Linked DNA regions of Tamandua tetradactyla. The protein of the gene in region 1 interacts with the protein of each later gene in a pairwise test. Links are inferred from orthologs where the notes say so. Each region holds a gene or a part of one and is shown in the gene's direction. Other genes may lie near its edges. The genes, in order: AP1M1, ZBTB43, RUNDC3A and ENTR1.

The links.
Region 2: the proteins of AP1M1 (region 1) and ZBTB43 interact in binary tests that used the Homo sapiens proteins (3 or more experiments, as listed by UniProt). The two-hybrid records come from large-scale screens. The link is inferred for Tamandua tetradactyla from reciprocal best matches to the Homo sapiens genes AP1M1 and ZBTB43.
Region 3: the proteins of AP1M1 (region 1) and RUNDC3A interact in binary tests that used the Homo sapiens proteins (3 or more experiments, as listed by UniProt). The two-hybrid records come from large-scale screens. The link is inferred for Tamandua tetradactyla from reciprocal best matches to the Homo sapiens genes AP1M1 and RUNDC3A.
Region 4: the proteins of AP1M1 (region 1) and ENTR1 interact in binary tests that used the Homo sapiens proteins (3 or more experiments, as listed by UniProt). The two-hybrid records come from large-scale screens. The link is inferred for Tamandua tetradactyla from reciprocal best matches to the Homo sapiens genes AP1M1 and ENTR1.

The regions. Positions count from the first base shown.
Region 1 is NC_135337.1:94,820,479-94,828,273, forward strand, and holds the start of AP1M1 (AP-1 complex subunit mu-1), read left to right. Parts: upstream 1-4,705; 5' UTR 4,706-4,837; coding exon 4,838-4,879; intron 4,880-4,907; exon of another isoform or gene 4,908-5,283; intron 5,284-7,795. Other genes in the region: protein FAM32A, read left to right, coding at 1,450-1,503, 1,733-1,801. UniProt on the Homo sapiens protein: Subunit of clathrin-associated adaptor protein complex 1 that plays a role in protein sorting in the trans-Golgi network (TGN) and endosomes.
Region 2 is NC_135328.1:49,227,436-49,234,547, forward strand, and holds the start of ZBTB43 (zinc finger and BTB domain-containing protein 43), read left to right. Parts: upstream 1-4,041; 5' UTR 4,042-4,156; intron 4,157-4,285; exon of another isoform or gene 4,286-4,532; intron 4,533-7,112. UniProt on the Homo sapiens protein: May be involved in transcriptional regulation.
Region 3 is NC_135332.1:23,158,495-23,166,073, reverse strand, and holds the start of RUNDC3A (RUN domain-containing protein 3A), read left to right. Parts: upstream 1-4,530; 5' UTR 4,531-4,785; coding exon 4,786-4,892; intron 4,893-7,579. UniProt on the Homo sapiens protein: May act as an effector of RAP2A in neuronal cells.
Region 4 is NC_135328.1:125,956,838-125,964,097, reverse strand, and holds the start of ENTR1 (endosome-associated-trafficking regulator 1), read left to right. Parts: upstream 1-4,245; 5' UTR 4,246-4,324; coding exon 4,325-4,394; intron 4,395-4,741; coding exon 4,742-4,891; intron 4,892-5,671; coding exon 5,672-5,740; intron 5,741-6,611; coding exon 6,612-6,727; intron 6,728-7,024; coding exon 7,025-7,260. Other genes in the region: PMPCA (mitochondrial-processing peptidase subunit alpha), read right to left, coding at 429-523, 1,724-1,806, 2,042-2,121, 2,649-2,851, 4,030-4,100. UniProt on the Homo sapiens protein: Endosome-associated protein that plays a role in membrane receptor sorting, cytokinesis and ciliogenesis. Involved in the endosome-to-plasma membrane trafficking and recycling of SNX27-retromer-dependent cargo proteins, such as GLUT1.

The DNA.
Region 1 (7,795 bases):
TCATCATTTAAATGGGATTTGTTTGATTGGGGGAGGGGGGAGGGAGATGAGGCAGGTGAGCAGGTGGGGTGGAGGAGGTGGGCAGTGCTTGGAAATGAGGTGGCCCTGTGGGAGCCTGTCAGGTGATCAGAGTGACTGAGGAGAGGCTGGACAGCCCCCTGGCTTCCAGGCCAGGTGGAGGGGGCAGCAGCTTGGCATCTCCATCCCATTTCCAGCTGCATGGCCTGGTCCTTGATTCCTCCATCTACAAAGTGGGGGTACCAACAGCACCAGGAAACCCAGCAAACTTGGCTACAGGAGGGCAGAGTCCAGCTCAGCACCTGCTATTGCGTGAAAGCTGGTCTAGTTGCATGGCTTCTTGTAGGGGCCTGGTGAGAACAGAGTCCAGCTTCCTGTGGGCTCATGGTTGAGGGGAGGGAGACGCAGGGATGGGGCAGCGCAGACACCTCGGAGGGAGGAGCACAGGTGGCAGCTGACAGCACTGTGTTGTTGTTTCTCAGCCAGGTGGTCCTGCAGGTCTGGCCTGGGGTCTCGCGCAGCCAAGGGGCAGCTGGGGCTGAAGCCCTGGAGGCCCACGGTGACCCTCTCACCACTCACACATCTGCCCCGAGCACAGCCCCACGGCCCCTCTCTCCCTGGGCTTTCTCGTCCTGTAGGTCCGGAAAGACCTGCATGGTGGGTGGCTTCCCAGAGTGCAGCACTGCCCATGCGTCTCATGGCGCCATCCCAGCCCAGGCACTGCTTTCTGCATTATTGCCTTCTGTTGTGTAAACTGAGTCACGGGGCCAGGCCCGAGTCCACGTGGCAGGAGCTGCATGAGAGCATGAACGCCGCGAGGCGCGATTCCTGGGAAGCACCCGGGCGAGTCGGCTGTGATCGCCACACTAGCCAGTGTGGGAGCCAAGCACAGCCCGGGGCCTGCCTGGCCCTGCAGGTACTGCCCCTCAGGTTTGAAATTGTTTTGGAGTCGGTTAAGGTGCAGGACCTGTACCCCAGAGTCACCTCTGCAGTGTGATCGTGGTAGCCGTGAGGACAGCCAGGCGCTGTGACCGTATCTGAGGCTGGCAGTCATTTGGGCAGCTCCTTTGGCTGACCCCTTTACTGTCCTCATTTCTTGTCCTTCCTAAAACCCGGCTGGGATGACTGTCAGTGTCACACCCTCTGGGAAGCACACGTAGAGGTGCCTGCAGGGCGGCCACTGGTGGGTGCTTGGTTGATGTTGTGTCCTCTTCTGCCCCTCATGAGGCCTGGTACAGAGGCGACTGACCCAGGTTCCCAGTGGTCACTGGAGCTGGGCTTCCCCTTCGGACCTGCCTGGGTGAAGGTGAAGGAGGGGGGCAGAACGTGCAGCCTGAGACCTTCAGCCATTCCAGGCTCCCGTCCTCTGTCACATGCTGGCCAGGCTGAGCTGAGCTTGTGAATTCACTTCCGTTTCTCCTTTCTCTTCAGCAAATGGAAAGGATCCTGAAGAAAGCATCTAAAACCCATAAGCAGAGAGTGGAGGTGAGTTGGGTGCTGGTCCCAGCTGGGCCCGGAGTCTGGCAGAGGGGGCCTGGGAGTGTTGGTGGGAGGGCAGTGACCGGCTCGTTAGGGGGGACCCCAGTGTCCGGGCTCTGTGAGACCTGGCCGGGTGGGTTTGGGAGGAGGGACTCAAAGAGGAGAGATGGGTGTGGGACAGGCAGGGCGGGCCTGAGGTCTGGGCTGAGACGAGCTTGTTCCTTGGCTCTCCCAGGACTTCAACAGACACCTGGACACGCTCACGGAGCACTACGACATTCCCAAAGTCAGCTGGACGAAGTAGCCACCCGGCCCCCGCAGTTTCAGGACACATTCTTTTTCCCACACTCTTGCATTTCTCTGTTGAGACAGGGCTTTTCAAGGCTTGGATACCTTCACTCCGGAACTCATTAAAACGAGACTGTCCTTTTGCTCATTTTTGTTGGCTTCTCCGTAGCACAGAGAAGATAAACCTTTTTTTCCTGGACTGGAAATTTTTAAAAGTTTATGCAGAGGTGAGGGTGATTTCTGTAGAAGTACCACGTGAAAATGTTGCGCCTCCCACCTCCCTCCCTGAATTGCATCCAGCCCCCTGAGGACAGCCAGCTGGCTCTCTCTGCCTGGATAAAACCACCTCCAGAGAAGGAACTGATGCCAGCATGGACCCTGGTGGGCTGCCCTTGGAAGCTCCCTTAAGCTTGGGCTTGTGACTTTCCATCTGGGACCCTGGGAAGCTGTGCAGAGCTCATGGCCTTCATGCTGCCCCTCGGCTATCTTGCCAGCTGGATAGCTCCAGCCTGGGAAGCAGCCACCCAAGGGGAGGGTGGAAAGACTGCCTTGTCCCTTTCTGTGCCAGTGCCCCCATTGCAGACACTGCTAATGGGTGTTGCCATGGTATCCATGGCAGACACGGCTAATGGATCTCACCACTCTTTGTAATGGAGCCCAAACCCTGACTCGCCCCGCAGTCCCTTATGTTTGTTCAGAGTTGGCATGGGGCCTGGAGCCTGGTTGGCATTTCCAGCCTCAGGACACCTTGGGGGTGACAGGGCCAGGCAGAGTCCTGGGGCCAGCAGCCCTGGGTGCAGTCAAATGGGAGGACCCAGGGGCTGGCGCTGGCGAGCCAGGACCTTGAGGGTCTCCGTTCACCAGACCAGGATCGCCCCACGTGCTACTGGGGAGAAGTTGCTGTTGGGGTAGATTTGAAAGAGTAACAAAGTGACAAGAGGAAAACCAAGTGTTGGGCTTGGAGCCAGCATGTGTGAACTACGAAATAAAGCAAAGTCCACTTATTAAGTGTGAGTCTGCGGGTCTGAACTCCGTGCCATTTGATTACCACTGGGGATGCTGCTCCAGCAGGATGGTAGATGGTCCAGTTAATCACAGTCAGTGGATCGCGGAAGAACTGCTGCAGATGTGGCTTGAGACAGCAGGGGGTTCTCATCTCCCCCTTCTGTGGGTGGACTGTGCCTGTTTGGGCCGTTCTCATCCATGGGCTGGGGTAGTTTAGGTCACGCAGTCACAGCTTGCTCAGCTGGGACAGGAAAGTGCAAGATGGCATCTTTGTCTTCCAGCATCTGTCTCTCTCTCCCCCCACGTATTTCACTGTCCAGAGAAGGACACGTGGCCACACCCCGAGCATGTGGGTGGGACCTCTCTTAGCTGTGAGTGGCAAGCAGCCCCCACTGTTGGAGTCCACCATGGCGGTTCTCAAATTCTGTGCGGTAAAAGCCACTGATGCCTGGACTCCCAGCCCCGAGATTCTGATTTCAATTGGCTTGGGGTGGGGGACCCATCTTTGTGATTTTTCAAAGCTCCCCAGGTGTCCCTGATGCACAGCAAAGTTTGAAAAACCCGGGTCTACAGGTTGGGTCTTTTCTGTGACACTGCAGAAGTCTTATCCAGCTAGTACATAAAATAAAACCAAGGGTGAAATTCAGATGTGACCCAAAAACCCCCACGTAGGGAGAAAAGGGGGTTACAGGTAATTTGTTTACTGAGAAAGCGTTGATTGAGAGTTACTCTTGGCACCTGGAGTCTTTTATTTCCTCAAAAGACTTGTCCCATCACTTGCTCCCAGTCCTCTTGATGCTGATTTTGAACATCTAAACAATACCGACAGCAGGCCCAGAGGTGTTGTGTTCACCTCTCCTTGGTGATCTTTTTTGTCTTAATTCCTTTTGGCACTTCCCCAAGTTTTCCACAGTGAGCACGGACAGTTTGGTTAACAAAAAGACTAAAACACACACACTGTAATAAACTGGGCAGAGTATGAGGCCAGGTATTTCTTGCATTTTGGTCCCTAACTTAAACTCTTGCTGAACAGAACCCTGCTTTTCTCCCTAGGCAGCAGACAGGCACCACCCTGACATCTCATCACGTTCCTTTCAGGGCTCGTTTGCCAGACATTTGGTGCCCCAGCCCCTGTCTCGGCTTCTTGCTACACCCTTTGTGCCAGAAGGTTTGCAGGGTCCTTAGCTGTCTTCATCCAGTTTTCTACTCTGGATTTCCTCACACATCTCTCTCCTGAGCAGAGGATATAGAAATACACTGTGGCAAGAACCATCCCTCAAACCCCACTTAGAAATAGGGTAGAGACAAGATATTTGACAGGTGGGCTGCAGGGCTGGCTCTCCAGGGCAGTGTGGACGGTTTACTGGGGTGGAATGCAGGCATGACCCCACACCCCGAGTGTTCCTAAAGCAAACGGAATGTGAATCAACTGATCTGTCAGGGACCACAGTTTGCAACACTCACCATGGCCACTAACCTGCACTTAATGCAAACACGTATGTACTTTGTGTCTGTACTCCGAGGGGGATGGTTTTCACTAGGTCACTCCAGGACTTAAAACAGGCACAAACGAGGTCATGGACGACAACTGAGACAATGACAAGTAGTGACTTCCTAAGGTTTCGCTCCCTCTCAAACTGTGCATTTCTTAGTTTCCTAGACTTCCTAAGGGCTGTGCGCAGGGCGCTTCCAGCACCTGAAACTCTCACCTGATTCGGCGCACGGGTTGGGGTTTCCAGCTGCTCTGGGGCCGTCGTCCAGCCAGGCCGCTAGAGGGCGCCCTGATTCTTCAGCCCGCCGCTCTGGGCCTCACTTCCCGGATGCTGGAGGCGGGAGCCGGAATCAACGTATGCGCCTGCGCACACCCCGCCCTACGCCTGCGCAGAACCAGCAGCTGCTCCCTGACCGGATATAACGGTCCCCGCGCGGCGCCCGGGACCGGAAGTGGAGGGGAACCGTCGTGGGGCGTGCCCGGTCTTCCTCAACGCCCGGCAGCCCCCGCCGCCGCCGCCACCTGAGGCCCCTGTCGAGGCCTCCGGTAGCCGCCATGTCAGCCAGCGCCGTCTACGTGCTGGACCTGAAGGGCAAGGTATGGAGGTTCCCCACCCTCACGTTGCCAGGCAGCCGGCGGGGGCCTCGCCCAGCGGGGACCCACCCTGTTGCTAGGTAACCAGCCAGCGGGCACCACCCTAGAGTCAGGCCTGGAGGCCGGCGGCCCTCACCTATGAACCCCACCCTGTTACCAGGTAACCGGGCGGTGGTCTTGGGTCTATGGGCCCCGCCCTGTTGCTAGGCAACGCGGTGGGCCGCTGCCGTTGCCGAGTAACCGGCAGCAGGAAACCGACACGATCTCTCGCGCGTCTGGCGGCGGGGCTCAAGCCTCGGTTGGGGGGCACCCGGCACCCGGAAGTCGGGGATATGGCGGGTCTGGCCGGCTTGGGGAGCTGGGCCCCGCGGCTATGGTTCGCGCGACCCTTGGCCGGAGGCGGAGGCGGGGCGGGGACAGGGCACCCTCGGCCGGTCTCGCGCTCTCGGAGGCAGCTGCAGGTTTTTCTCCGGCGCTTTCTCGGGGCCTGTCCCAGGTGGAATTACGCCACGTGATGGAGTACGAGGTTTAAGCAAGATGGGAAAGTCAGGCATAGAAGTGAACAAACATGACGTTACCCAAGCCCCAGAGAAGTGGCCGGTCGACTTAGAATGGAACCCGGAGTCATCTGTTGATTCAGCTGAGCTAAATGTCAGAGAGGGTGCTCAGACTTGGAGCAAAGACGGCGGTAGCCGCCGTCCTTCTGGAGCTCAGTCTAGTGGGGGAGGCAGATGTTAGTTCCCAGAAGCACCTATCAACATGGATTGGGGTAGTGAGGGTATGTAATGAGAACCTGGGAGTTAGTCACAAGGAGGACCTGGGAGAAAGCTTCTCACAGAAAAGAGGCATTGAAGCCTTTCAAAAGAGCTGCTGCCTTTCCCCACGTACACCCCGGTGAAAGACTTCTGAAGTCAAGAGTCACGAGAACTGGTCCAGGGTCAAGTATGACGTCAATCAGTGATAGAAATGTGGGTGTCAGGTGCAGGGGCTGGGCCAGAGTTCACGCAGAAACACATGGGAGTGAAGAGGTGAGGTGCCTGCCCCTCCATTCTCTCTGAGCACTTTTCCTGAAGTCACTTTAACTGGGCTTGCCTGAGCTGACCGCCTTGGATGCCACCCAGAGTCAACAACTTGTGGATCCCGTGGTTGGGCTTCCTTCCTTGGCTGACCCAGAGGCAGGGAAGACAAAGCACAGCTGGGGCTGGCAGGGGCAGTATTCCCTGACTGCCTGTAGTACGAGCCCCCTTGTCACCAGCAGTGCCAGCAGGCTGCCTGTTTCAGCTGGCTCATTCCTAAAGCAAATGTTGTGTGAGCATGCAGCTTGCACCAAGTCCAGTGCCAGGGTCAAGGGACCCATTGGTGTGACTACCTCACTGTGGCTGAGGAATTAGGGCTGAGCTGTGTGACCTTGGGCAAGTGCCTTCTCCTTTCTGAGCCTCGCTTTCCTCGTTGGTCAGGCGAGTCTTCATGGGGTCACTGCAGACTCAACAGAGTGAATGTGAATGTATGAGATGGGCTCAGCCCCCCCCCCCCCCCGTGGACTTTGCTGTCTAATGGGGCAGGGGTCACATGTAGGAGCAGAGACATCACCACATAGTCGGGTCTGGGCAGCCACAATGGCAGGGACATGCCCAAGGGAATGTGGTTGTCCACCTGTTCTTTGGCTGGCAGGAAGGGAGAGGTTTAAGAGGCCTGTGGTGGAGGGGAGATGCTGGGGCTGGGTTTGGAAAGATGAACCAGGTGGCAGTTAGGTGAGGAAGTGTCCCAGTGGAGCTGCCTGCTAGGGCTGCAAGCCAGAAGTCTGGGCAACGCTGGAGCCCAGAGCCTGGTTCTGGGAGGGCCGTGGGTGGTGAGGATGGCCAGGCAGGAGTGGAGGTGGGCAGCTGTCAGCACAGGCAGCAGAGCCTCTGCAAGACGAGCATTTCAGGAGGAACACGGGGAGACTCACCTCTCGGGGGGCTCCCCGGGCCACTGCGGGTCCCCTTCTCACAGCCCAGGCGCCTGGTGTCATCACTCCCTGTGGACCTCACAGTTTAGAAGTTTGCCTCCAGAACAGAACGAATTTAATCAAGAGTAAGTCAGTGGCACATGAAGAAGTTCTCAACCATGCATCTGTCTGCAGGCCAGGCCTTGGACCCCAAAGTTACCAACCGTGGCTGGGGAAAGCCCTCCAGGGACACTTCGCCACCTTCATCTGACTTCCTCAGCAGGACCGCTCTCCCATCCAGACCGCTTCCCTTGGTTTCTGGGCTGTGCCCTTTGGGTCTCCTTCTGTTCTCCTCGCTGTTCCTGGCCAGCCCCTTCTGTCTGCCTCCCCTTGGGTGACGGGGCCCAACGGGACCAGCCTCCGCTACCTTCTCGCCCTGGTAGCCTGTTAATTACCCTCAGATTCACACCGCAGCTCTCACCCTGTCCTCCAAACTTGGCCTTTTCCAAAACCAGCTCCCCATTGTACCCGGTGTCCCTCTCAGTGGGTGACACTGCTGCACATGCCAGATACCCAGACGTCACGCCAGATACCCAGACGTCACTCCAGCTCCTTTTCCTCCTCCCCAGATGCTGGCGAGCCCCCGCTGTGGGCTGGGCATGCTGCCCGCCAGCATGGGTGAGGTGGCGTGATCGCTGGTCTCAGGGAGCGAGAGGCAAAGACACGTGAATGCGTGTCGGCCTCGGTGACGATAGGGTGGGGTGGTGGGGAGGCCTCTGGGAGGAAGTGTGTCTGCGCAGAGGTGCAGGGCCAAGCCTTCCAGGCAGAGGGAACTGCAAGTGCCGAGGCCCCGTGCCAGGGGGAGAGTAGGGAGAGGGGCGGAGGGGCTGGGAGATGCACGCAGGCAGGGACCCAGTCTGACTTCTTTCCAAGACCCTCTTGCTCTCTGGGGAAGAGCTGCGGGGGGTCAGGGGCTATCTCTCCAGTGCGTA
Region 2 (7,112 bases), on another chromosome or scaffold:
TGGAGTACTTTCAGGCTGTAATGATGGAACAGATTGGCACTGGGAGTGGGATAAGGGGACCTTTCCAGGAAACGTACAGACCGTCAGGAATGCAGATGCATCCTGTACAGTCACAGTCCTTGTTCCTAAAGACCCTGGCTCCAATAGCATCACAGGAAGAGCTGCCACCACACAAACCCCTAACCCTTCCTCTGGATCCGAGCTTGTCCAAGGAGGAAATATAACCCCCAAGGACATGGAAAGCTGCACATGAAGAATATGGAGAATTTGGGGAAGTGATCCTTGCCCATCACTACTCCTATTCCCTCCATCCTTCACAGTGCTTCCTTCATGCCATCCAAGAGCTGAAGACATTCGTGGGGCCCTAGAATCCACTCCTTAGATGAGCGCACATAGGTCCCAAAGGTCCTGGGTCAGGACTTTCTTGCAGAGCTAATGGAGACATTCAAAAAGAACAAGTGAACGTGGAATTAGGCTACTGTTCCAAATCCTGAGATTTTCATAGAGGGAAAATAATTTTAAACTGAGGAGGGGGCCTACTTAAGAATGGAGTGGTATTTTTAAACTTTCATGAGCAACTAAACTCAGGTATATATAGGGAAGGAAGGTACAGTTCACTACTTGTACTATTAATGTGTTTGGAGCTGGGTCCAGTTTAGAGAATTTTCCTGTTGCCTTTTAAGGTAGCTTTTGTTGTTGGTGGTGAATGTATTGTACATAAAGTGGGAAGGGTGGGTGTGAACATGGAAGAAATGGGAGTCACATCTGGGGTGAACACACAGCACTGGAGTAATACTTTACTATTTACAATTGTGTCATACTGAATACTTTGAGAAGGGGGAGAAGAGGAAAGTTTTAATCTTTAAAAAAAAAGCTTTGTTGGTAGCGTTGACTACCAACTTGATCTGAAAAGTATTCTGTTTTCATTCTTGAAAGATAGTTTTGTTGAGTATGCAATTCTAGGCATACAGTTATTTTCTCTCATCATAATGCTATTATTTCATTAATGGTATTATTTCATGCTGTTATCATTTTCTTTATTACCATTGACAAGTCAGGATTTGATCTCATCGTCATTCTATTGTAGGTTATCTTTTCTGTCTATGTGCTTTAAAAACATCTCTTGGGGGTGCAAGGGCAATTAAGTGGTAGAATTCTCACCTGCCATGTAGGAGACCTGGGTTGGATTCCCTTTCCATGCACTTCCCAAAAAACAAACAAGCAAACAAAAATTCAACAAATGGTGCTGCAATAATGGGATACTCACATGAAAAATAATGAAATGTGACCCCGCTGTACAGTATACAAAAAAAAAATCATCTCTTATTCTTAGTGTTCTACAGTTTCACCACAATGGTTCTAGGTTTCCTTTTCCTTATCCTGCTTGGAAGTTATTGCACTTTCTGAAGATTCTTTTCTTTTGTTAATTCTGGAAAATGTTCATCTATCATTCTTGACAATTTCTGTGCCCACATTCACTTTATTATCTCCTCCTAATATACCTGATAAGCACATTAATCGTCTCATTTTTTTCCATTTCCTTGTCTCAGTAGGATGTATTTTGGGTTATTTTCTTTAAATACATCTTTCAGTTCACTAATCTCTCTTTAGCTGTATCAAATTTGGTATGTAACCCTTCCAATGAGCTATACATTTAAACTGTTATAATAGGAATGTCTTTAATGTCTATGTGGTTCTTTTTAACATTTTGTCTGATAATTTTTGAGAATCTCTTGAAACTCACTCATGTTTTTAGTTGCCTCTTTGTTTAATAAGTTTTTTTTGTTGTTGTTCTGCTTCTAAAAGTCTAATATCTAAAGTTGTTATGGATCTGCTTCTATTGCTTGTCTTCTCTACTTTCTCATGGGTTCTGTGATTTTTTAATTGTGATTTCATATTCTTTTGGAACTCTTATCTGTAGGAATTCTTTGAGATCTGGGTTAACAATGAGTTCTTTCCACAAAAAAAAAAAAGGAGAGATTTTTGCTTGCTTTGGCCAAGTGCCAGAGGCACTACCCATCCAGATCCATTTTAAATTCAAATGCTCAGCATGCGGGCTTTAGGACCATGCAAAGAGTATGAATTTATCCCCTAAATCAGTGTTATTGCCAGACCTTAGTCATGAATACTCTAGAGGAATGTTTTTTCCATCCACTCAGAGCCAAAGCAGAACAAATTTTCTTGCTACCTGCCTCTGCAGGGCAGATTTTATTTTTTTCTAGTCTATCCTTTCCTTAAGGATGTATTCTTTCTTAGGTCCCAACCCAATGGTTTGATTTGGCTCTCATCCTGCCTGGACCCAGGAAGATGCTCCTGTATCTGGTAGCAGCATTAGTGTTTACTTTTCTCCAGAGATGATTTCCAAGCCTAGCACATGCACAAACCATCAGAACAGATGCATGCAGTGCCTGTGGAATCTTTCTGTCCTAGGTTTGTATTCCTGCTTTCTTCCTGGCCTCAGATGATTTTCCTGACTGTCTTGCAAGTTTATTCGCGCATTTAGAGGATATTTTCAATATTTCTTCTAGCAATTTTATATATTTTGCTGCAGGAATATTTAGAGATATACAGTACACACTACTGCTAGAATAGAAGTCCAAGCAAGAAGTTTATGTAGCTCATGAAGTAAAACATTTTTGGGGAAAGCAGTTGCAAGCTGGAACTACAGCTTATTGTCTAATGAGACCTAGCCTCTCAGTCTTTCTTTCCCCTTCTCTGGCCTTAGTATTTGGCTTGTCACTTCATAGGCACATGATAATGACTGAACTTTCAGCCTTCCTGTCTGAGTAAAGGCAAGAAGAACATAACAGGCCATGCTGAACTAGAAGTCCTCATCCCACCTTTATAAAACATGTCCACAATTCCCACCTCCTGACTTCTGCTAAGTTATTACTGGCCAGAAGTTGGTCACATGACACACTAGTCTAATTAGTTCATGAGAATGAGATTCTCATGAATGAGATACATGAATTGTGAATCATCTCCTCCTGGTGGGGTGAAGATTTACCTTCCCTAAGATCAAGAGATCTCCTCTATTACCTTAACAAAATGAGGTTTTTCTTGGGAGGAGGGTGGCTAAAAGGTGAAGAGGAGTTACTACAATACCCGATCTGTGAGAATTTTTGGAGGCCTGGTTTAAGGGTGTATGCCACAGTAGGAACGGTTAAGAGGCTGAAGCATATACCCTTGAAGCAGAATTTCCTTTAACAAGTTGTTCTGTACCCGTCCCCATTTCTGTGCCTCAATATATGTTTTCTTTGGTTTTGTTTCCTAGAATCTTTTTGGTGAATTCTCTCAGAAAGGCTCAGGCTCCTTTATGCTGCACTGATGGAAAAGGGGATCGAACTCTCCTGAGGCTCAAATTGGTCCAACACTGCACAGCTGGTTAATTGGGCAGTTTGAGTTAAGACAGAAATAAAATTGAAGCGGCGTGCCTGGCCCGGCCTGGCTAAGTATCCAGCCCAAATCCAGAAACCACTCTGACCAAATCCCTGCAGCTGCCTAGACCTAGATTTCAGGTTAATATGGACGAGCTCTTCGGTAATGAGGGGCCTTGGTCTCTAAGCAGTAAGAGTCCTACCACTTAAGTCTTCTCTTCTACGCTAATGTTGTGAGGGGCGGAGGGAGTACTGGAAAAGGGGATTTCGGAGCGTAGAGGAAGCGAACCCGGCGCCCAACACAATGCGAGCCACACTGAGGACAAGGATCCTGTGACTGAACATTAATTGAGCACCTACTGTGTACTAATGTGGGGTCTCTGGAGGCAAAGATTTAACACAGTCTGTTAGAAGAGATGTGTCGGGCATTAAAAAGCGTTTGAAGACTTGATATTGGCGCCCCTATTCCCAGAGGCGCACACAGGGACTGGAGCCCTGATTAACTAGCTCCCGGCCGAGACAGCGCAGGCGCATGATACCCCGGAAGGCTACCTCAACGCTCCACCTTGAACGTTAGCCCCGCATGCGCATACCGCTGTCTTTCGGACGCACTCCCGGAAGCACTGGCAGTTTCGGGGCGGGACTAGGAAGCGTTTCCGGGGGCGGGAGGTGCAGGCTGAGGCGGTCGCGGCAGCGACAACTCGAGCGGTCCGGGTGCCGGCTGCCGGCTGCGGAGAGAGCCCCGCGGGCGGGCGATGTGAGCGCGAACCCCTTGATAGGTACGGGGGAGTAAGGACAACGGGCAGCGAGGGGGGCGTGAGGGAAGCCGGGAATGTTCAAGGGCTTCTCGGCGGGCCCGGCGCGCTCACCCTGTCGGGCCCATTCAGCCGACCGGGATGCTGAAGCCGCGCGCGGGCGGTTGGCGGCCTGGCTGCCTGGGTCCAACTCTCGTGATCTCCAGCCGTCCACCGGCGCTCGAACTGCGACACGTAGGGCCCCGGGACAGCGTCTCACCCAAGGTCACCCTGCTACCACCGAGCTCGGTGGGTCCGAGCGCTTAGAGATCCCGCCCCCGTCTGACCGCGGGCTTTGCGGGGGCGCCCGGTGGGCGTGGCCTGTCTCCCTCAGGTTCGAGTCCCCAATCTGCGACGTCTGGTGAGCCAAGGCCGGGAAAACGGCTATTCCGTGACTTCACTGATTTGTCCCTGTCTCCTGGGTTCCACCTCTGTCAATGTCTGTCACCTGTTGTCACCTGCCTTTGCTTTCGCTAAACTTGGTCCTTGTCAACTTTATGTTTACCTTCATTCTGTCTTTCTCGAGGTCATATATGTGTATCTGGACCCTGCCTCCACCTTACATCTGCGTCTCCCGAACCTGTCTTTGCCTCTCAGCCCTTACCCTCGTTTTTGGCCTGTTTTTGTCAGTCCATCCCTTTGGCCATCTGTTTTGTTTTGGTTTGGTTTTCTCCCAATGTCTATGTCTGCTCTTTTGTTTCAGTTTCTTCTAACTGGGTAGGGCGGGGTGGAGTAGGCCTGCCTGGACCTCTGAGCCACGGAAGGTGACTCATGATCCCGTAAAGCTCCCTGTACTGGTGACTTTAACGGGTGACTCTGCCAAGTCTGGCCTTAATTCTGACAGGTGGTGCCCAACTAACTGTAGGGAACAGGAGCGTGTGGTGGGCAGGCAGGCGGCCATCTCAGGGCCACAGCAGCTTGATGATTCCTTGCCTTTTCTTGCCCATGGTTTTTCAAGCCTGTACAGTTCTCCACATCCCTCTGACCCATCCAGATATCCCTCAGAAGCCTGCTCTTTGAGTTAGAACTTCTTAACCAGGTCTTCTTACAGAGTAAGGAAGGATCCAAACTCAGTTTCTCTGCCCTAATGGCTCTTAGAACAGTAGCAGGATTTCTGGGAGAACTTCTTGTTTAGTTCAGAGATTGTGTCAGTATGTTCAGTTATTAAAACCTACTAAGAGTTCATTCTTTGCTTTACAGAACTGCTCACGGGAGAGTCGTGAAACTAACAAGCTCTTCTGTTGTTAAATTCTGCTTTTTGAAAACTCATTCTGTAGCTTTTAGAAATATTCAGTTGCACTTACCTTTAGGTTCAGTGTTCAGCGAAGGGCACAGCAGTGAATACAGTTGAGGATTCCACCAAAGGTCTTGAGGCAAGGAGGTTAATTAAAGCAAAAACAGATTTCTGCCCTGACTCTCCTCCCTTCAGCTTCCTTTGGTTTAGTGAAAGAACCTGCTGTAAGCAGGAAACTTGAGGAAAATTTTGCATGAAGAAAACTCATAGGGTTAGAAAAATATTATTTTAATTATCATAATGCAAAATTGAGTATTATTTCTTGTGTTTTTCTGATGGGGAAGCCCTTTGTTTTATATTCTTTTATTTAAGCTATCACTTTGCCCCTAAGATAGTTTATCAAGCTTTCTTATAAGACATAGCAGCTGAATTACTACCATATTTCATTGAATCCTAGATGGATAACTTATTGAAACACCAAGAAAGAGAAAGCATTGCTAATTAAGCTATGGCATAATGATTTCTTATTGTTAAGGCTTTTTATTTTATTTTATTTTTATAAAAACACCTTTATTTAGACATTCCAAATAAATTTATTTGTACTTTATTTAGGCATTCCAAAACAGTATTATTCTAATGTTTTAGAATGTCTAAAGTGAGATAAATTGGTTAAGGTAATCATTAAGCTTCTTAACATCCAGGTCTAAATCTTCTGAATACTTTTAAATTCAGAGTCAGTATTTACACCCATGTTTTTCCACACTGGGTTGTTCTTTGTGCCATCAGAAATATTGCTGAGGTTCTCAGGAGTGCTCTGTCATAGTCTCAGGCACTGACAGCTATTTAAAACTGACTCCTTGCTGTTACAACCATATTTCAGAAATTTTAAAATGTGAAAAAAATGTGCTTCTTAGAATCAGTGGAATATTTTTCTGTATCACTTTTCATAAATTTTTTCTTTTCTCCTTATTTATATTGCAGTTAGAGTTGGAATAGATTTTTGTCTTGTTTGTAACATGTTGGGGTAAAACTTTTATTTTGTTAGTAGGTAGTTAATAATTTTCATGAAATAAGTGCTGTTCCTGCTTTGTGTTTTCTTGAGTTAAGCTTCTTATTCTGAAATCTAATGAATATAATGGTGCAAATAAAAACATGTCTTTGGCTTTATTGTAATGTATTGGGTTAAATGAGGGCTATAGTATAATGCATTCTCTTTTGAGTTCCAAAGAGTTTACCATAATGGAACTTTTGCACTAGACATTTTAAATAAAACAGTCATTGTAGCTTAAAATTGAAGGGAGTTGTAAATCAGACTTCATAAAGTAGTTGGCTTTTCTTTTAAAGAAATCTTGAAATAATTTTTACTGGAGACAATTTAAGAGTACTGATATATACATTGATTGGGAGACTGAAGACACTTTTCTGAAGGATATTTGAATTCTGCAGAATTATAAAAGCATTTATGATTGTTGATTTCTTACAAAGGCATTTACCAGTGTTGGTTCTTAGTTTTGATAATAATAATGTAAAATGTGAATATTAAAGGAAACTGGGTGAGGAAAATACAGAACTCTGCATTATCCTTGTAACTTTTCTGATAACCTAAACTTATTTCAACTTAAAGAGTCAATTTTAAAAATACCAAGGCAGATGCTAAGAAGGTGCAGAATGGAAGTTAATGTAACCAAATATACCAGTCTTAGTTTT
Region 3 (7,579 bases), on another chromosome or scaffold:
GTGGACATTTACTCACTGGTGTTTATGGCAGCAGTATTCCTGATTTGCAATCCACTGATGAAAGGAAGGGTGAACTGTGGTGTATACATACAATGAAATATTGAGTAGCTGCAAGATGGAATTAATTTGTGAGGCATGCAACTAGGTGAATGGACCTTGAAGACAGTACATTGAGTGAAATAAGCCAGAACGAAAAGGCAAATATTATAATGCCTCACTAACACGGACTAACAATAATGTACAAACTTGGAAAATTGAATCGGAGAGCATAAGTTATCAGGGGAAGTCTTATTGTAAAGATTCCTAAATTGTAAGCTTTTACAGCACACACATCTGTTCCTGAGATATAATGATTACTTCTAAATTCTGAGATACTGAGCTCTTTGTATATAACCTGGCTGTCCCCTGGAACTTTGGGTATCTGCTTGACACCTGTGGCTCAGCGCTAGAGTTTACAGCTATGAAAGTCATTATTACTCAATACAGCAACTGTTTAAAAATGAAAAAGAGATCAGACATCAATAAGAGATACGAATGTGGCACTTCTGGTTAAAACTAAGGTAAATCAGAATACAGTATAAAGGATGATAGTGACCATGTTTTAAAACTTCAACTTCTGTGTGAGACCAAAGGGAGAGATGTTTATTTGGTGCAAAATTTATATTTTCTGTAGCACACTATCTAATTTAACTTGTACGGTCAGTTTATTTGAACGCCATAATTACATGGAACTTTGAATAAGGAATGTGATCTTGTTGGTTTGTACAGGTTAGTGTTATGTCCCGACACATCCCAGAGTAATCTGGGCAGAGAATAAAGAAGTAGTTGCAAAGCCCCCTTGAGGGACAGGAAAAATGTGGAAATATTTAACTTCCCCACTTGGGAGTTCCTGATGTTCTCACAAGCATGGGGGACTACCAATTTAATAGGCCGAGCCCTCAATCTTGGGGTTTGCCCTTATGAAACTTATTCCTGCAAAGGAGAAGATAAGCCTACTCATAATTAAGTAGAGAACCTTTCTTGTTGTTCAGATGTGGCCTCTCTCTTGAAGTCAATTTGGCAGGTAAATTTGCTGCCCTCCCCTCTACATGGGACATGACTCCCAGGGGTGTAAATCTCCCTGGCAGCATGGGACATGACTCCCAGGATGAGTCTGAACTCAGCAATGTGGGATTGAGAACGCTTTCTTGGCCAAAAGGGAAAAGAGAAATGAAACAAAATAAAGTTTCAGTGGTTGAAAGGTTTCAAATAGAGTCAAGAGGTCATCCTGGAGGTTATTCTTAAGTATTACACAGATATCCCTTTTTAGTTTTTAGTGGATTATTATAGCTAGAAGGAAATATCTGAAACTGTTGACCGTGTTGCAGCAGCCCTGATGCGTGAAGATGTTTGTATATATCTATATAGCTTTTACAATGTGACTGTGTGATTGTGAAAACCTTGTGGCTGACACTCCCTTTATCCAGTGTACGGACAGATAAGAAAAAAAATAAGTATAATAAATAAATAATAGGGGGGGATAAGGGGCATAGGATGTTTTGGGGGGCTCTTTTATTTTTATTTTGGGGGAGTAATGAAAATGTTGAAAAATTGTGGGGATGAATGCACAACTATATGATGATGCTGTGAACCACTGATTGTGTACTTTGGATGATTACATGGTATGTGAATATATCTCAATGAAACTGCATTAAAAATAAGATGTTTTCTGGGGTACACATGCTTCAAACCATAACACCCTCAGATCAGTAAACTCTCCCTAATCCAGCCTTCTATCCCACCCCCTGATCCCAGTCCAACACCCTCAAGATCCACCCCCAAGTATAATAATTCCTTTCCCCCCATAGCTGGGGTGATTCTTTTCCACTGGGTCCCTGATGAGACTTGACCCTTGTCATTGAGAGGAGTCAGGGTCAGCATCAACGTGTGAGCCATTTGCCTCAGATGAGGATATTATTGTCACCCAGAGATGGATACCGTTACTATTGGGACTTTGCATCTCTTTTTTTAAAGAAGGGGGAAGAGCATCTTCGTTTGAGTGAAGGACACGCTACATTGTTAGGCAGGGTCACGAAGTTGCTATTGTCCAAATACGGGTAGAAAGGTGGGTATGGGTGCTGAGTAGACAGGGGGTGGACTGTGCCGGTTACTTACTTATTACCATTCAGCTCCAACTTCATTCTTCTTTTCTCTGCTTTCTGATGCGGGGTGGAACATCAGATGCTTCAAACTGGTTTCCCAGATGCCACGGCTAGCTGGCCTTCTAGTTGGTTCTGCTAACAGGAGGCACGAGGGAGTGACTGGAAGGCAGGAGGAAGGGGGAAGGGACTTCCCATTTTTTCTTGCTCATATTCCTGTCATTCGCTCATCGGAAGTCGCCTCCAGTCTTCAGCTTCTTCTACATTCCGAGAACCAGCCCTGTAGCTGCTCCTCAAAGGAATGAGCCGCAGCAGGGTGGCCTGGCCCAGAGTCTGAGCGCCAACTCAACAGCATCCCTCCACCAAGCTCCGAGATTGCTGTGACCTCATCTCTTCCCTTTTGTTCCCTCAGCCCTCGCTGCTCCCTTCAATTACTAGTTTGGGATGTCTCTGTGTTCTCTCTCTCTTTTTTGCTCTTTTCGTCCTCCAACTCCTTTCCCCATACTTTATCCTGTCTATTTGAAATTTCTTTCTTTTTTTTTTTTTGCACGGGCAGGCACCGGGAATCGAACCTGGGTCTCCAGCATGGCAAGTGAGAACTCTGCCACTGAGCCACCATGGCCCTCTATTTGAAATTTTTAATGTGGTTTCTATTTTTGTAACTAGACTCTATTTGATATGCAAAATTACAAAATTCATACAATATGGCTCTATTACTATAAAATTGTAAAGCTGGCCACATTAACCTACATAGATAAGAAAACTATAAAGAAAAGCAATGAAATAAATGATTATCACAATTGTCAGCATAGCATTTGCCTCTTGAGGGAACAGATGAAGATGAGATATGAAAGAGGCACAAGGGAGCTCCCAGGGCAGATAGTGTTCATTTTCCTGACCTGAGAGGGGGTTACACAGATGTTTGTTTTGTAAATATTCTTTAAACTGTTCATACTTTATTTGCTTTTATGCATATGATATATTTTGCAATTTAATAAAACAAAAGAACATCAATGCTGCCGCTAGCTATGGGCTGGAGGCTGGATGATTAGAAGGGCTTCTAGAGAGAGGTGAGGCAAGAGGAGGAACTAAAAAGACCAAGTCTTAGGTCCAAGAACTCAAGAATTCTGACTCCCTTGCTAGGAGTCAGAACCCTCTCCCTAGCTCTCAGGGAGCCAAACAAGGGTTGGGAGCTTCTAAGTCCTTCATTTCCTTCTCCTCCTTTGTTGGTGGTAACAGAATTGCTGTCTGCTGGGTGAGCATCTAAATCAACGCAGAGACTCTGGCTATAGATTAGCAGAATAGAAGCAGGAATGTGAATTAGGTGGGTGGCAAGAGCTGGTTAATGAGCTGAGCCCTGGGATGGAAGTCCCAGAGGTTGGATGGAGAGAAGGGGTGCAGCCCCTCCGATCAGCCTAGAAAGGCTTTGTTTGGTAGCTGCCCATTCCAGTGCCCGAAAGAGGAACCGGCTGCCTTACCTTAGGCAGATTGAATAGAGAAATAGAGAAATGGAGCAGCTGGAAGCAGGATGTGGGAGACTAATAGAGAGGCAAAGGGTAGCAGGGAAGCAAGACTATGCTCCATTTCCCCACCTACTTGGAAAAGCTGCAACCAGCTTTGCAGGGCCCTGGTGGCCTTGCACCGGGATCAGTGACTCCATTTAGAGTGGGTTGACAGCATCCTGCAACAATGTTGGCAGTCAAAGGGTTAACCCTTAGCGCTGCTGACTCGGGTTGTGTGAGGGGGTAGGTCTGAGGGAAAGCCGTGCCTTAACTGCCACTCCCTCCAGCTGCTGTGGCCCCACAGTGCTGGGAACATCCCCAGAGCCTCGGGACAGTCCTGAGCGGTTCTGGATTCCCATCCCCCACCATTGGAGTAGTTGGCTCCACAAGGCAGACCGACAAATCAAGCACGAGTAGAGGGACAAAACGACACGCAGTCCCTCTGATCGTTCCCTAGCCTCCAGGGTCAGCCACCTGAACTCTCGGATGCAGCCAGTGCCCTGGTCTCAGAAGGCCGATGCTGAAAGGGGCGATGGGGTGGGGGCGGCGCTAGAGTGGGGTTACCGGAGGTGAGGACCTCCATTCCCCAGACAGCAGGGGGAGAAATCAGGGACAGACACTAACAATTTCTGGTCAGAAGCTTAGAGTAGAGGTGTCGGAGCTCACAGACGCGGGACGAGGAGTCCCGGGCTCTGAATGTGGGGGCGGGGGACAGCCAGTGGTCCCCCCTTCCTCTCTCCAATCCCTGCCTCTCCAGGGGACCCCCTCCGACATCCCTGGGGCCTCGGCCCTTCCCCTTTCACCACCAAACCCTGCGTCCTCGGCGGATTGGTCCCCTGCTTGCCGCGGGGCGGGGCCCGGGGGTCCTGACGTCACCAGCGGGGGGGCCGGGCGGCTGGGGGAGGGGGTGACAGGCCCCGGCTCAGCACCTCGGAGAGCTCCCTCCCCGGCCTTGTTTTGCTCTGGTGTCACCGCCGGGGGAGGGAACGAAGGGGCCGGGCGCCGGGCGCTGAGGCTGGGAGATGACCGTCGAGGGGTCGAGGGGCCCCGGCGGGCAGAGGCCCCAGCCGTGAGCCGGCGGGGGAGCCGGGGCACCGGGCGGGGTGGGGGGCAGCGGGTGGCGGCAGCAGTAGCCGCACATCTGGATGGAAGCGAGCTTTGTCCAGACCACCATGGCTCTAGGGTTGTCCTCCAAGAAAGCGTCCTCCCGCAACGTGGCCGTGGAGCGTAGGAACCTGATCACCGTGTGCAGGTGGGCGCCGTTGGCGGGCGGGGGGTGGGGCGCTCCGGGAGCTGGCTTGGGGCGGGCTGCGGAAACCCGGACTGAGCGTGCCCGCGGGAGCAGGCACCGCAGCCGAGTGGAAAGGAAGGGGATCAAAGGGTTAAAAAGATTGCCACAGCCCCTCGCAGGTCCAGAATGGGGAGGGGGTTTGGAAGTCTGCTACCTACCCTTCTTGGCCAAGGGCCTGAGGGGGAGGGGGTGTTTTATTGGCATTGCAGCTTCCTGCGAGAACCAGGAAGTGACATTGTGTGTGAGGGGGAGGGGGGCCTGGCTGGCTCCGTTGCTGGGGTCGGGTCGGGGTGGGGGGTTTGTGAGGTGGGCAGAGGAGAACTGAAGGGGCATAAATGCCCAGAGCCTGGTCTCCCTGCGGTGGAGCATTGTCTTGGGACTTTGCTATCCACAAATCCTGGAGCAGGGACTCTGTGCCCTCCTCTATCTCTGGGCAGCTGCAGCCTGTAGCAGAGTCGCTTGGAAATGTGGGCAAAGCCCCCAAATCCATCCAGTGAAGGGTTAGAGCTGCTGTCCCTACCAAGGGAAGGACCAAGGGCCCAGCTACAGAAGCCTGTGTCCCCTGGGCTCGAGGGAAGGAGAAAGGGGACAGGGCCATCGGTCTCTAGATGGCCCTGAGGGTGGGGCTGTCGCAGTGTTAGGGAGATTTGCCTGCCTTCTTGGGGCCCAGGAAGTGGTCTTTCCCACTTCAATCCTGCAGTGACTCACCCTCCCCATCTTTCCCTGGAGGCAGGACGTGCCCAGCCACCCAGACAAACTCCCTGCATCCCCCACCAATACTTGCCTCTCCCTCGAGGGTCCCCATGCCAGCTGCCTTCTCCACCTGCAACCTCTCCTGCCGTCCTGCTCCCAGGCATTGGGGAGTAGGCCCTCTCAGGGCAGATGGTCCCACATGCAGGGCTCAGCTGCCAGCCCTAGCCGCCTGCACACTGGTGCCCTGGCCCCTGGCCCCTACAGCTCCCTCAAGGTTTCTGAGCACACACTCAACCATTCTGCATCTATCTCACACCATCACATCCTTAGTGCCCAGCACAGTGCTGGGCAAATCAGACCATCCATAAAAACACCTTGAATGTTATGGAGGGAGGGAGTGCAGCTATGGCCTGGCCCAAAGTTCAGGCCACTGCCTCTACCCTCACACACCACCACCTCCAACCCTGCCAATGTGCTCTAAAATGAAGACTCCTGCCCTTGGGGCCAATGGTCCTCGGTTCACGCCCTTATATCATCATGTATTAGCTGTGCAGCCTTGGTGAACTATCCTAACCACTCTGGGCCTTGAGTGCCTTATCCCCATGCCTGGTACACGGGTGGGTATAACAGCCACCCCAGAGAATGACTGTGACAGAATGCAGCCCTGATCTGATGACAGCCCTCTCAACTTTCTCCTCACTCTGTACTCCCAGGTCCTTCTTCTTTCTCTTGCCTGTCAAGATAGCTGTAGCTCTCGAGTGCGTATGGGAACAGGGAAACTCCCCCTAGCCTGGGCTGGAGACGCAGAGGTTCTGGTGGTCTGGAGGTGGTCTTAGAGCACAGGAGTAAGCTGTACGGTTTGGGCGGAACAGGCTTGATAAAGACTCAGAAACCCCTCAGGCTCCTGCTGCCTCACTGCCATCACACGGTCGCCTCCGGCTCCCAGAACATGTAACAGGCCATGCATTCCCCTGGGCCCAGGCCTTCCCATCACCATGGTAACCCTCAGCAGGCACCGCATCTCCTAACCCAGAGCACACCACGGGGCTCCCAGGGGCAAGAAACACTCTGCAGCACCCCTACGGGCAGATGGCAGATGGCTGCCACACTGAACCCAGCCCCTGGCCTCCACCGAGGCTTGACCCAGATGACCAGAAGAAACTGGAGGAGGCGGGTTGGATAATGAAGTCCAGCTAATGCCTTAAACGCAGGCTCCTGCTCAACAGGGACAGCCTCCCCACTAATGGTCCAGCTCCTCTTGGCCTGCACACATTTACCTTCTCCCAGTCCTGTCGGGGATGCAAACCAATATTTAATGAAGCAGGCGCTATTATTCCTGTTTACAATGGGAAAATTGGCTTCAGAGAGATTAAGTGGCTTGTCCAAGGTCACATAGTATTACAAAAAAAGCAGTATTTGAATCCACCAGGCCTTCTCTAGTGCAGCTCCACCCTTACCTGGCTCTGATCTCAGGCCAGACCAACTCTCAGCCCAAAAGGAAAGGGAAGGTTCTGTGGGTTCAGCTGGACCATTGGCCTGAGGGCTTCAGAAGCCAATACTCGAGGGCTAGAGCCTTGCAGCATGAGGGCCACAGAGGCTGTGGCTGCACAGGGCCTTGGTGATCATGACAGTCCCCAGCAGGCTCCAGGAGGGAGCAAAAAGAGCAAGGGCTTTGGAATCAGCCACACCTGCTTGACCCCTCCCCAGGCTAGATGCATGACCCCGAACAGATCAACCTTTTGGAGTCTCAGTTTCCTCATCTATAAAGTTGAGATGATGATGATGATGATAAGAGACTCTACTTCCCAGGGCTGCTGTAAGCATTGGATGAGATAATACATGTAAATATAATGCTTGCCACACTGTAAGGGCTTATATACCTTGGGGGGGGGGTGACAGTTCTAAGCAGCCTGCATAACCCTGACACCCCTCCTGTTCTGTCATCTTTACCAGGG
Region 4 (7,260 bases), on another chromosome or scaffold:
ATCTTAACATGGACCTGCAGCCTTGGGGACCAGAGGCTGGGGCTCCAAATCAGAGCAGGTAGGGAGGCAGCTGCAACAATCAGCACCATCCCATCTCCTGTCCACTCCTGGCAGGAAGTTCACGAGTCCTGCCATCCACAAGGCAATGAAGGGCAATGGAAAAACAAGATAGATAGCTGAGGAGCCTTTCTGAAATGAAAAATCCAATTTCTCAAGAAATGTCAAAAGTACAAGGAGAGGTGTCCAAGTTTTAAGGGCTCTCTCTAAAGGCAAAGGAGTTTTCCATTCCTCAGTGTAATTTCCCATGAAATCATGCCAACTCACTGTCATAACTCACTGTCATAATGTAAACTCAACTCCTCCAATAACCAAGAATGCTGTGCTTCCACCATCACCCCCGGTCCACCTCTTATGTCCCAGGTTCATACCTGTCAGTCGGGATTGCAGGACCACATCAGCCAGCAAGCCAACCACAGTGTCCAAGCCTTTTATGTTGGCAGACACAGCATACATGGTGGTGTCTCTGGAAAAAAGCAACAGCACTGGGGACTGAGGTCCTACCGGGACAGGACAATTACATCGTGTTAAAGACTTGCACACCTGTGGGTGTCCTTTATTACTTTTCATTAAGGATCAGCATTCTCAAGTCTTTTCCTATTAGTCTTACAGTAAAAATCCCTAGCAGGCAAGAAGCATAACTGCATACAGGTAAATACCTGAATAAAAGACTCGTCAAGTCAAAATGCTAAAGAGCCAATTCTGAAAAAGATGTATGCAACCACATGCTTCCAAAAGATAAAATGTTTCATTCTGTTCTTCCTTGGTGTTGATGAAGAAACTGGCGGATTAATATGGAAAGGTGTCTGGTCTCAGATGGCAGGAGAAACCTGGGGTACCATGTGAATGGAGGTTTTCAGCTGAGTGGGTCAGAGATAGTCCAGCACTGGACTATGCAGAACAGACACCACTGGCACATGGGAAGGGGTGAGGCCTGGGAGCTGGGTGCAGTGGGGAGGCCTGGGACGGAAGGGGGATTTCTGGACCTTTCCACTGGAGGCCATTCTTAGTGTGGCTGCAGGACCAGGTGGAGGTAGAATGGGGGTGGGGGGGAGGATGGGAAAGGAAGACGGGAGAAAAGCAGGAACAACAGCTTGAGCTACAAGTGGCTGAGGCCTATCAGAGGAGGTAAGGAGCTTGGAGCTGCGTAGGGGCAGCTGGGGCCAAGATTTTTTAACAGACCTGTTTAAAAAGGTGACCATGTTGCCTCCACGCTAACTTCTAACTTCAATCCTTAGCACTTTGTAAGTCTTTTATATGTAATTTCTTTGTATGCAAAAAACTACAGCAAAGCATTCAAATTAAAAATAATCCATAAATCATGCGCCCACCTCATACTGTCCTGACAGAGCTTTCTGACAGCTCCAAGCCAGGCCTGCAAAGACCCACCTGCCACTGCCACAGCCTCTACCACCCCCCATCCCCCAAGTCTGTGCTCTAGCTACACACAGCTTCTTGCTGCCCCTCAGCAGACCACTGCCTTCCCAGCTCTGTGCATCTTGCCCACCCAGCTCTCCATTGCTCCAACCAGTCACCAGGGCCCCTTCTCACTGTCCACCTCCCTGACTTCTCCGACAGTGGGGCTCAGTGGCACTTCGGCCAAGAGGGAAAAAGACAGTTCAAAGTGGAGGCAAAACAAGCTTTATTTTAGTAACAGCTATTGTACCTTGATGTCTGGCAGTCGCAGATACCTCCATGTTTCTCTAATGTAAGCAGAATTTCATCTTTGCTGTTAAATCGAGCAGTAGACTGGTGGAAATAAATAAGAGAGCCTAAATAAGTTATCCAAAACAATCCCTAGAAAACAGTTTTTAAGATGGAAATTTACTTTCCCTTCTAAAATACATACAGTCAAGTTATCTTTTAACTCAAAGGTTTTTAAATAGCATTAACTTAGCAACTTAATCATTTATTAAAATAAAAACCACCCTTAAAAAGGAAAGCTTCTTCCCCAGTCTCAGAATATCATAAATCAAACACTTACCGAAAATGCCAATTTTTCCAGAAAGTGAGCAATTCCACTAAGATATTTTGCTTCATATCTTGATCCTGAATTAATAAGAACTTGTAATAAAAAAAGAAATCAAATGTCAAATCAAATGTTCAAGACAGAAGATCTCATCAAGAGAAATCTTTTTAAATTGTGAAAGAGCTTAATAACCAGATTTAATTATGGAGGTGTGATAGTTATGATCATTATCTCAATTGTAATGCTAAGTTTCACAGGTGCATATGTATGGCAATGATTATTTGATTATAGATATTAGTAGTGTATGGTCTGTATGCCACTTATACCTTGGCAAAGCTCTTTAAAAAAGAATTTATTTTACATTTTTCTGATAATACAGTGATGTATATATCTGTGGCAGAATTCTTTCAGAATTATAGAAAAGTAGAAAGGGGGAAAAAAATCCACCCTAAATACCACCTACAAAAATGACCACTGTTCCTAATTTGGTTACTAAGTTTTCAGGTTTTACAGCATGCTTTCACTCACAGTACAATTCGTAATTAATACAGAAATTATGGGTCACTGTTGACTGAAACATACACCCGTTAAAACAAATGAAATCACCCATAATAGTACTTACTTCCTACTGTACAGAACTGTCCAAACTTATTTTGGGATGCCACCCGAAGCCCATTATCCAGCGTGGTAACTTTGGTTTCAAATTTTTCCTGTCCATCGACTGTAGCAAAAACAGGCTTGGGTATTCCAGGTAAGGGAGAAGACAGGGGGATGTTGGGATAGGTACCGCCGCTACTAAACTGTCGGTATGCGGGGGCTCTGAACCTGCGGCAGAGAAACCCGCCCAGTTACAACAGAAAGACTCAGACCCGGGTGCCTGTGTATCCTCCTCAAAGGAGAATACAAAGGATCAAGGGTACCATGTCTGGGCACAAGTCATAGCTCAGCCATGGGACCTAAGGCCAAGTAAATTGGTAGATATAACGCAGCCAGAACAGCACTGGCCTAACGGCCTCAATGAACTCTGAAAAACCGCACTCTATTCCCTGGCTAGGGAGGCCCTGCATGATCTGGTCTTGGGTCCCCTCTTCAAAGTCATCTCCTAACCACCACCCCACCCACCTCCCTAGGTTCCGGTTATGTTGATCATTCGGTCAATTCCTGGAACGCTCTGTCACTGTCCTAGGGTCTGCCTTGCTCTTGCCTGCACTGTTCACATGGCTGACCCTTCTCTCCTCCTTTGTCCCCTGGCTGAAATGTCATCTTCTCAGAGAGACACCTTGAATGATTCTATCATTCTATATAAAATTATTCTCCCCTTACTGTCACCGAATGCTGCTTCTTTACTTCAAAGCACTCATATCTTTGCTGAGACTCTGTTCACTTTTTAGTCTGTATCAGCTTCTAGAGGACAGTTAACTGTTTCTGCTTACCACTGCACCCCTGCACCTAACACAGTGTCTGCCATACAACAGGTGGTCCACACATAGTTGTTGCCCGCATGACTGTGCCAGTAGGAAACAAAAGGCTGACTTGGTCGCTGGGGTGGGAGAAGCGGGAGGAGTTGACCGGGAGAGGGTCAGCAATCAATGGGAAGCGCATACAACACAGGAGCCAAAGGCACAGACTCTGGTGTCAGTGAGAACCGCGAATCTGGATCTAAAGGAGGGAAGACTGCTCTGCCTTGGCCTCGTAAAGGAGCACGCGGCAGGTAACGGGCACAAAAGATGGAAAGGCCTCGGACCAGCCTCTTCGGCCGGAGGGGTTAGGATGAGGGAAGACTCAGGATCCGGAAAGAGGAGGCGCGGATGGACCTCGGGTACCAGGCTCGAGACACAAGGCGGGAAAGCGCCCCCATCGCCTGGGGGACGAAGCTGGTATCTCCCAAACAGAACCCGTCCAGTCGACGCCGTGTCTGGACGCGAGGAGACCGGAGTCATTGCCGTCGGAGGAGTTCGAGCGGTCCCGACCGCCCTCCGAGACCCGGTTCGCCAGCGGCTCACCTCAGCCGCGAGCGGCCCCAAGAAGCCGAGCCTCGCAGCAACCGCCTCGCCGCCACCACCACAGCCGCCATCTTGTGCCTCCGCCCGCCACTTCTGTCGTCACTTCCACTTCCGTCGCCGGCGGGGTTCCGGCGCGCGCTTCCGGTCGTCGGACGGGAAGCAGCGGCCAGCGGCACCGAGGAGCAGCGGCGGCCGAGGGGCGGGCGACGGGGGCGGGCGACGGGGGCCGCGGTTCGAGCGGAGCCGAGGCCATGGAGCCGCCGCTGCCGGGCTAGGCAAGGCCGGGCCCGCGGGGATGTCGGGCTACGCGCGCCGTCCGGGCGTCACCCCGCTCTCCCGAGCCCGGAGCCTAGTCATTCCGGACGGTAAGCGGGGTTGGGCCGGGCTGCTGCCCAGGGAGGCCTGGGGGACGGAAAGCGGCTGGGAGGGTGGGGATGGGGTCGGCCCCGGCCAGCAGCGCTCAGCCCCCAACTCCGAGGACCCCGGAACCCCCGGGGCGTCATGCTGCACCCCGAGTGCCTGCCGCGGGGTCCAGGGCCGGTTCGAGGCCGGCATGCCGCCTCTTACCTTGAGTCGCGACGGCCTCCTCCGCGCGTGGGGTAACAGAACCTGCTGACCTCACAGAGTCATGTTGAGGCCGAGGTAAGGTAATACGTAAGGCCCCGGTGCAACCCCCGGTCCACCGTAAAGTCGCTCTTATTGTTACTTACAGCTCCAGCGTTCTATGAGGGCCGAACTTGTCTCCCCCAGCTAGACTGTGAGCGCCCCCATGGCAGGGACCTGGACTCCCACTTCTTCGGCATTCGGCCGACGTTTATGTGTTATGTACCCAGTCCGGTGCTAGCTTCAGTGGGAGACACAGGTGAGAGACCAAGGCGCCAGCCTCAGGGAACCCTCCAGTTGTTGCATTGCCTGTAGGTAACTGTGCTGTAGTGCTAACAGCCATTTGCTCAGCAACGCACACTCGCTGTGGGCCAGTGTGCCAGACTCACGGTTTTCAAAGAGGAAGAATGTCCCCGCGCACTAGGAGCTCACAGTCTAGTTTGGGGAGACCAATTTAGGTACACAATCTCAATCCGGAATGATAGGTGCTGTAACCGATGTGAGCCCAGTGGAACTGGTGGAGGGACAGGGCACAAGGCCAGGGAGCCTCTGTGCAATAGACCCTGTCTGGAAAAGAGTTAGTGATGTTTTTGGTCTCCACAGCTGGGCAGGTCCCAGTTCTAACTCCCCCTCCCTCTTCCTAAGCAGCTAAACTGCCTGACATCCAGGCCATACAGGGAGGGTTTAGATAAGATTGAAGGGCAGGTTGAAGGTGGGTGTGTTAGAGTCTGAGTAATGGTAACACAGAGAAGGGGTGGGGTTGGGGGGCGCTGTGTGCACAAGACAGGCAAACACTGTACTTATCCCCACTGGGAGTCAGAATCCACTAGGGAGCATTTTTTTAAATTACACATGCCAAGGCCCACCAGGCCAGTGAAAGTCAGAACCTGCAGGGTCAGGGCCCTGGGGCTTAGTTTTTAAACAACATCCTTGGGTGATGAGAACCACTGCAATAGAGACTCCACGTCAAAACGTGAAGACATAAATTTATGGTCATAACGGTTTCCCACAGTCATGGTGGGGTGACGTCTTTTTGCAGATTTTGGCTATGGAAAGGGGAAATGTACTAAGCAAGGTCCATCAGGAGCCCACGAGACACGTTTTGGAGGTAGAGTAGTTTGGTAATCCTTTCTTTTTCTCTCTGTCCGACATATGATGTGAGGCACACTTTAGGTAGTGGGGCTTTTGGCTTGCTAGGGAATTAGTGGTGGATCTGGAGCTGGAAAGAGCAGCTGGGATATCATCCAAAGGATTCAATCCTAATCTCATTGTAGAGGGAAAGGAGGTGCAAGGGCAGGAGAACCTGAGATTTGGTGACAGAAAAGAACCCTGGATGTCAGGGAGGGTAGAGAGTGACATCCAAGAGGCTGGAGGGACGACAGGGACTGAGGTCAAAGATGCTGGCTTAACATGGTGCCTGGCATAAGGTTACTACTCAGAAAGTAATCTGTGGATGGCCCAGCTACAGTGACTGGTCAGGCATTTGGGGGCATGGGAGACACCTTGGTGAGGGAAGGGAGGGTTGGGACAGATGCAGGTTGGTGGTTAATTATGCAAGAAGGAGTGAGGTAGGACAGTGATTCCCAAACTTTGTGCATCTGAGGTGCTTTTAAACCTTCTGTTGCCCGGGTTGCATGCACCCCAGTTGTCAGGACAGGGGAATGGGGTGGGGTACAAAGTCAGTATTTTTGACCCTGGGTGGGTCGAGTGTGCAGCACAATGTGGGAAGCAAGGAAACTTAAAAAGGGAAGGAGCAGAATGTAGGGTGAGGAGGTAGAGCTGTTTTATTGCCCACTTTTTTGTTTGTGTTCTACTTTTTAGCGTCACCCAAGTTACCATGGGATATAAGGACTATTTCTGGTTCTAGATATGCTTGCGCTCTGGAAAGAGAAACTAATGGGAAGGTTCCCTTTTAATAACCTTTGTTGACTTCAAACATTTGCCTTACTGTTTATTATTTTTTGGTTTTTTTTTTTCAGATGATAAACTTGAAGATCTTGAAGAGGCAAATCCATTCTCCTTTAAAGAGTTTCTGAAAACCAAGAATCTCAACCTGTCAAAAGAGGACACGACCAACAGTAGGATTTATTCAAAGGTAAATCTAAGGAGTTGTTTTTAGTGCCTGTAGATAGAAAAGATCTTCAGAGAACATCTCTTTTCTGGCTCACAGCATCCTTTGGAGGAGGCAATGCATGAACTGCGAGGCAAAGCCCAGGTGCTAATGCCATTTGCGGTTTTTGTGGGGATAAGAAGTAAAGCTGTTTGGAGCCCTCTGGGGATCTCCTTTTTCCAGTAGACCCGGTGAACCCCTTTTTTAAGGGCTGGGCACATGACAAAAAAAGTACAACCTCATTACTGAATCAGAAGCTCTGCATCCTGCTTTTTTCTTTAGGAAGCCACGAGGCACTCACTGGGGCTTCAGCACAGCTCCCCAACAGCCCAGACCATGGGGTATGGCCTTGAGTACCAGCAGCCATTTTTTGAAGACCCGACAGGGGCCGGCGACCTCCTGGATGAGGATGAGGATGAGGACGATGGATGGAATGGGACCTATCTGCCATCGGCCATGGAGCAGACACATTCGCTGAGGGTTGCTGCCAGCGCCTCACCCTGTAGCACTTACGTGTC